Sus scrofa: one gene and its partner. The protein of the gene in region 2 binds, or shares a complex with, the protein of the main gene of each other region. Links are inferred from orthologs where the notes say so. Each region holds a gene or a part of one and is shown on either strand. Other genes may lie near its edges.

What was found. Proteins that work in one complex are often made in the same cells at the same time.
Region 1: BUD13 (region 2) and CWC27 share a complex: the UniProt entries of both Homo sapiens proteins name them as parts of the activated spliceosome. The link is inferred for Sus scrofa from reciprocal best matches to the Homo sapiens genes BUD13 and CWC27.

What each region holds. Positions count from the first base shown.
Region 1 is NC_010458.4:43,363,451-43,366,971, forward strand, and holds part of CWC27 (peptidyl-prolyl cis-trans isomerase CWC27 homolog), read left to right. Parts: coding exon 1-87; intron 88-2,795; coding exon 2,796-2,939; intron 2,940-3,521. UniProt on the Homo sapiens protein: As part of the spliceosome, plays a role in pre-mRNA splicing. Probable inactive PPIase with no peptidyl-prolyl cis-trans isomerase activity. As a component of the minor spliceosome, involved in the splicing of U12-type introns in pre-mRNAs.
Region 2 is NC_010451.4:44,162,599-44,166,775, reverse strand, and holds the start of BUD13 (BUD13 homolog), read left to right. Parts: upstream 1-1,374; 5' UTR 1,375-1,541; coding exon 1,542-1,684; intron 1,685-3,906; coding exon 3,907-4,000; intron 4,001-4,177. UniProt on the Homo sapiens protein: Involved in pre-mRNA splicing as component of the activated spliceosome. As a component of the minor spliceosome, involved in the splicing of U12-type introns in pre-mRNAs.

The sequences.
Region 1 (3,521 bases), on a different chromosome or scaffold from region 2:
AGAGTTGTACCTGGTTTTATAGTCCAAGGGGGAGATCCTACTGGCACAGGGACTGGTGGAGAGTCTATTTATGGGGCTCCATTCAAGGTGAGAGTGAATTTTTATTATTATTTATTTTTAAGTCAGCCTGGGTTGCTTAATTGAAAATGATTATGCCACACAAGAAGAAAATGCATTTCATGTTCGTGCACAAAATCAATTTTATCACATATTTAAGATTATATAGTATAAGAGGGGGACTTACCCCATCAAGCATTCTTTCTAAGTTTTCTTATCACAACCTTTTACCCTAGATTAAATTCAGGTGGAGTTAAAGGTGGTAGCGAATAAAATATGTCAGACAAAAGACCATATAACATATTTCCTGATATTTGACTGTATCTGATCTCTGTAGCTCTGTATATATATATTTTTTAGAACATTGCACATGCCATCCTTTTTTTATTTTTATTTTTTTGGTTCTTAAGGCCACACCTGCAGCATATGGAGGTTCCCAGGCTAGAGGTCACATTGGAGCTGTGGCCGCAGGCCTACGCTATTGCCATAGCAATTCCAGATCCAAGCTGCACCTGCAACCTACACCACAGCTCACAGCAACACTGGATCCTTAACCTACTGAGCGAGGTCAGGGATTGAACCCTCATCCTCATGGATACTAGTTGGATTCATTTCCACTGTACCATGATGGGAACTGCCATGCCATACTATTTTAAAACATTTTATTTAACACCATATTATCTGCTTGAAATGCTATAACAGAGTACCTCTGACTGGGTGGCTTAACCAATAGGAATTTATTTCTCACAGTTCTGGAGGCTTGGGAGGTCCAAGATCAAGGTGCTGGCATTCAGTTCCTGTGAAGATTCTCTTCTTGGCTTGCAAATGGCTGCCTTGCTGTGTCTCAAACGGTGAAGGGAGAGATTTCTGCTGACTCTTCCTCTTCCTATAAGGGCAGCAGCCCTAATGGATTAGGACTTCACCCTTAGGAAGTCACTTAACCTTTTTCATCTCCTTACAGGCTCTATCGCCAGTTCAGTCATATTGGGAGTTAGAGCTTCAACATAGGAATTTTGTGGGGGACACAATTTAGACCATAGCTGAATTCATTCTAAATTGTACATGGTACATCTTTGTAGCACAACATTTCTTTCATAGCAAGAGATCACAAGGAAAACAGAAGGAAGAAACAACATAGAAAATATTAGAAAAGAGTGTGAGAGATAATCAAGAATAGGCCAGTGCTTTGTTAACTGCCAACATAGATCTAGAAAGAAAAAGAATTAATGTCATAGTTAAGATATTAAGATTAAGAGTGAGTTCAAGTAAAAGCTAAAGCTAGGTTATTTTTTAATCTGATGGCAGTGGTATTATCTGAATGAATAAACATCAGTACCTCATAAAATATGTGAAATTTTGAAAACTTCACATTGATACTAATGGGATAGAGTATCTGGAGTTTCCTTTAATTTTATACTGGGTTGCTTTATGACTCTTGAAAACTACTTGAACTGTTTGCTTTAATTTTCATATGATAGTGGCATGAAAAATATAGGAAATGCTTTTTTAAAAAAAGTCCTAAATGTTACTGTTAGAGTATTCTGTATTTTACAAAATTGAGATTTCTCATTATAGAGCCTCCATACAGTAGGAAACATTCTTTTATTTTGTTGTTTGGTGTGACAGAATAGCTCTTTGTGACAGTTCCTTTCTAAATTGATATTTTTTTGCTTGTTATGATTAGGTAATAAAGTTATCTTTGTAAATTTTTCAATAAGTTTATTTTTTTTGGTCTTTTGAGGGCCACGCCATGACATATGGAAGTTCCCAGGCTGGGGGTTGAATTGGAGCTGCAGCTGCTAGCCTAAGCCATAGCAATGCGGGATCTGAGCTGTGTCTCTGGTCTACACCACAGCTCAAGGCATCTCCGGATCCCACCGAGCAGGGCCAGGGGTTGAACCCACATCCTCATGAATACTAATTGGATTCGTTACTGCTTAGCCACAACGGGAACTCCCCAATAAGTTCCTTTTTAATAGAATGTACAAGAGTTAAGACCCTTTGAATTCAGATCTCTTGAGAAGAATTTATGAAGGAAAAGAACTTCTCTTCTGAAAAACATTGATTACATAACATGGCTGTATTAGACATGAGTCTAGTATGAGATCTTGATAGAAATGTTATTAACTAAGAGACTAATATGTAGCATTATAGCAAGAAAACCACCTTAGAATGACTTGCTTCTGCTGTTTTGTAAACTGACAAATGGAAACCTGTGCCAATTCAAAGATTCAACTTAGAATTTTCAAACACAGTAAAATGCGTAACACAACCATGCTGGATTCCTTGAGTGAGAAAAGTAAGAAAACAATTGTTTCATGACATTTAGATCAAGGTTAGGAAGGGAATAGTTGAAGACTCTGCAGTGACTCAAAACTAGTTATTCTGGAGAGAAATAGAAGGTTCTGAAAGCTTAGATGACTTTGAGGGATGGCAGAATAGGGGAGTGAGTCTTAGTAATCCATTCCCTTTCAGTAAAGAGGAAGCTTTCTTCAAAATAGGCTAAATTTGTGGCTGAGTATATTTAGAAGATACTTACAAGCTAGTGAAGTCAAGTTTGATAGAACTGAAGGAACTGTAGATATTAGATTTTGTTATATATGAAAATCAGTTAACTTAAACATTTGTGATTAAAAGTTGTATGGGACTTTGCTTGTTAGCTGAATATGAAGGGTCTTATAACCAAGATCATTCACTAAATCTTTTTTTGTTCTTTTTTTTTTTTTTAAATGCTTCAGGATGAATTCCACTCACGGTTGCGTTTTAATCGGAGAGGACTGGTTGCCATGGCAAATGCTGGTCCTCATGATAACGGCAGCCAGTTTTTCTTTACATTGGGTCGAGCAGATGAACTTAACAATAAGCATACCATCTTTGGAAAGGTTTGTGTCCAGTTATCTCAGGCTTCTATGATATATATGATCAACTTATCTAAAGTTGCCTTCATAAATATATTCCCTGAGATATTTATTTATTATTTCTAAAAATGATGGAATGCTATGTATTTCTGTTGTGTGTTTTAAGTCATTCGTTTTAACTTTGAATTTTTCTTTTTTTCTAAAATCATATTAATGGTATTATGAGCTCCTATGTCACTCATCTGATACTATTTTTACATTTTTAGAAACACACCTAGGTAATAACATTTAGTAGTTAAAGTTTTATTTTGTTAATGATGGATTCCCAGTGGAGGTTATGTTAACTTTAAAAGTTTTTACCTGGACTATTACTTTGAATAGTACCCTATTTAGTCCTTTTCACATTTAACATCATATCAGAGAATGTCATTTCCATAGAATTTTCAGTAGCTTTCTTTAAGAGGGATTCTGAAGATTTTATTTTCCTCCTTCTTCATAAATATATTCCCACATGTTTAAGTCGCAGGCATGCAGACATCATTAGTGTATTGGCTCCCTCTACTGGTTCAATAAAAATGGTTTCACTTTGTCCTAGGCAGCTGGATT
Region 2 (4,177 bases):
GTCATGAATTCCTTTGGTCCTGCTTAACTGCCCTGTGAGGAAGTGTTAAGACTAGAGCTTGGGTCTTGTCAGGCTAAGGGTAGGTATTGAGTGGAATGGGTAGAGGTAGAACTGATGACAGAAGAGGGCAGGAGGGCATGGGGTTGAGAGAACTATAGGAGTAATATTCACTGGAGTGGCAGTGGGAGACTCCCCATGTCTGCTGACACCAGCTTGAGGTACATTAAAGCAGACTAGAAGCCAAGGCAAGGTTGTGGGTGGGGGACCTATGGTCCCCTGCAGCTATTGATTCCCCTGTCAGTCCAGTGCCCCCTTCTCACAAGCCCTCAAGAGACCCAGCCTGCTTTTCTTCCTGGGCCGGTGCTGTGACCAGTCAGTATGGCCCAGAGGTTAAAATTTCTTGCTTCAGGGCGGTGATCTCCAAACCTGTTTTGTTACATATAAGTATTTTCTGAACATGTATCCCAAGATACATGTATTTAGTGATAAAGTATGACAATGCCTTCTTGAGTAATGCCTTGAAACAGTTACAGTGATTTAACATATATAATGAGATACATAGAATGTAAGATATAATTTTTTTCCAGAAATTTTGTATTACCTCTTGTACCCCACCTTTTTGGCCTCTGCTCCCAAGGGTCATATATTCTGGCTGTGTGAAGTTGGGCAACTTAACTTCTCCAAGTTTCAGTTTTCTCATCTGTAAGGATAATAAAACTATCTGAGAAACATGAGGGTTAAATGAGATAATTCAAGTAAAGCTCTTAATGCTTACAAGAAAAAGTCTTCTCCCCAAACTTGAGTATTAGAATTCAGTCTTTCTAGCTTCTTTCACGATACTGAAAATAGATCCAAGTCCTTTGCACTGGAGATTTTCCACACAAGAGATAGCTAGGGGCAACCAGTAATACCGAATGTGGATAAGTTACACAGGTTAGAAACCTCCATATTTTTCAGAACAATTATACTGGGTTTGGAATTCCTGACTTCCTCTCTTGAGTGGTTCTTGAAGGCCTATTAAAGCAGATTCCTCTCCATCTAAACATGCTAATAAAAATAACTAACATACTGTGTACCAGATGCTGTTCAAAGCACTTTACACGGTAATATTCTCTCAAGTCATTGCAACCATTGATTTAGGTGTGATTTTTATCCCCATTTTGTTAAATAATTTGCCCAAGGTCGTACAGCTAGGAAGTTATGAAACCAGAACTCAAACTTAGATGCGCTGCAACTCTGAAGTAGATCTCTGGAGTCGCAGTTGTAGCCTTGTTGCTGCAATAAGGCTTGAATGAGCAGATAGATGGACAACAGGAAAAACACGGTTGCGCATCGGGGGGCGGGGGGATGTAGACTGGGCACCGGAGATATGCTCATTCCTCATTAGCCCTTAAACGCTCTCTTTCATCTATCAGCTTGGACTGCTCCAAATACTCGGCCACTTCCGGGCCCGGTTGCGCCTCCTAGGGTCCTCGCCGTTCGTTTCGCGTTCAAGAATTTTGTCCCTAGCGCCCGTCCGTCTCCCCGCCCTCGCCGCTGCCATGGCGGCAGCTCCGCCGCTCTCCAAGGCCGAGTATCTGAAGCGTTACTTGTCCGGGGCAGATGCCGGTGTCGACGGGGGCCCTGAATCCGGCCGCAAGCGTCGCAAAAAGCGGCCGAAGACTGGCGGGGCTGGCGGCAAGGGGTGAGTTGGGTCTGGCGGCTTGGGTCCGCGGGGCTGCCCCCCCCCTCCCGCCTTCCCAGCTCCGCCCTCGGCCCGGCTCTTCCTCGACGGGTCGCGGGCTGCCCGGCTTTGACTGCTCGCCCGACCCTGCCTCAGCCCAGAGTCGGCCGGGGCCGCTTCTCGCGCGCTTCGGCAGTAACTTGGGTGTATTCAGGCCAGGCTGTAACTTTCATTACTCTCTTCCCGCTTTTATAGCAGTCCGTCTTCTCTCGCAGAGAATGAATATTATACCCTGAAAGTATTGGTGGAGCGAATTCAAAGGCTCTGGGCTTGGGTATTTAGGGCCCAGAACCTGTCTGGGGCGGGGGGGGGGGGGGCGCTTCTCCAATCCTAAGGACTCCCGTCCTGAGTTGGAAACCTGGTGCTCATTTCCTGTTATTCTTACTACTACCACTACTACTACCACCACCAAGTAACATTTGTACAGTTCTTGTCATGTGCCAGGCACCGTTCTGAGTCCTTTAGATATACATGAATTTATTTAAGCTTCATAACGCTACCATGAAGTAGATGTTGTTGTTAACCCCATTTGTCAAACAAGGAAAATTACGTGGCCCAGCGTGCTGGGTTGAATAGTGCCTCTTCTCTCCAATTTATGACCACCCAGGACCTCAGAGTATGACATTAGAAATAGGGTCTGGTGTTCCTGTCAGTGGCTCAGCGGTAACGAACTGGCTAAGATCCATGAAATTGTGGGTTCGATCCCTGGCCCCGCTCAGTGGGTTAAGGATCCAGCGTTGCCATGAGCGGTGGTGTAGGTCGCAGACGCTGCTCGGATCCTGCCTGGCTGTGGCATTGGCGGGCTACAGCTCCCATTCGACCCCTAGCCTGGGAACCTCCATATGCTGTAGGTGCGGCCCTAAAAAGACAAAAAGAAGAAAAAAAAAAAAGAAGAAATAGGGTCTTTGTAGATGTAATTAGTTAAGATGAGGTCATAGTGAATTAGGATGGGCGCTAAGTCCAATATGACTGATGTCCTTTTAAGAAGAGGAAAATTTGGATACAAAAACAGGCTTTGAGGGAAAATTACTGTGTGAAGATGGAGGCTGAGACTGGACTGGATTCATATGCCACTAGGAGCTACCAGATACTGGATGAGTCAAGGAAAGATCTTCCCCTAGAGCCTTCCTGGCAGGCGTTGCCTTGCAGATACCTTGATTTCAGACTTGAAGCCTCCGGAGCTGTGAGAGAATACATTTCTGTTGTTTTAAGCCACCCAGTTTTGTGGTACTTTATTAGGCAGCTCTAGGAAACTACCCAGTAAAGTCAGATAGCTACAAGGGACTAATCCATTTCCTTTCCTGATTTGGTTGTCCCGTTATTCTTCCTTTATGTCTTCCAGCCCCCTCTGACTTGTGTGGATTCCTTGGAGGAAGTGCCATGTAGTGAAATTAGCTTGAGCTTTGCAGCGACACTGATCAATATTTAAGTCCTAGCTGTGCCACTTTCTGGGCTAAGCCTCAATTTCTTCATATTTAAAATGAGAGTAGTAGTGAATGGTATCATTTATATTAAATGATTGTGATTAATGATCTTGGCTTTTCAAATAACTGTTTACATCATGGCAGTTATTTTTATTATTTGGACTCATCCATAGCTTATCTATGGAACAAAATTTATTGAATATTCTCTATGCTAAGGTGTTGAGGGGTGCAGGATATCCCTGTAAATAAGAGAGGCATAGTCCCTATTCTGATGGAACTTATAGTTCAATGGGAATACAGCCGTTAAGCAACTAATTACACAACTTGTTGATTTATTTCCTTTTTGATAAATGAAGTAGAAATATTCCAAGAATGTCTAGCAGGGGTTCTTAGTTGGGGATGGTAAGGGAAATAGTCAAGGAAGGTATGCTCAAGGAAGTCATATATATGCTAGGATTTTAAGAATGAATAGGAGTTTCCCAGTAAAGAATGAGAAGAGTAGGTCAGGCAGAGAGAAGGAATTGAGTTTGTGAAACTGATATGGGAAAGAGTTTGGCTCATTCTAGACAGCAGAAGATGACCAGTGAGTAGGGAACCGAGAAGGCAGTGGTATAAGATGAAGTTGGCCATACTGGCAAAGAATGGACCATAAGATCTTGTAGGATTTTGAGCTTTAGCCTAAAACCAATAGATAGATGTTTGTTGGCTGTTAACCAAGAATGATTCTTCTCTTTTGATCTTTTTATTTTCCACATTTAGTATGCGGATTGTGGATGATGACGTGAGCTGGTCATCTATCTCCACCACTAAACTGGAAAAGGAGGAAGAGGAAGATGATGGAGATTTGCCTGTGGTATGTATCTTTTTATTTTTTTGACCGAGCAAGGGGCATGCATGAGAAAGTCCTAGGCCAAGGATCGAACCCATATCACAGCAGTGAATTGCTGAGTCCTTAACCACTAGGCTACCAGGGAACTCCTCTATCTTTTGAGGCTGTGAGGACTTTGAAGTGTAAGCCTCTCAATCTCAA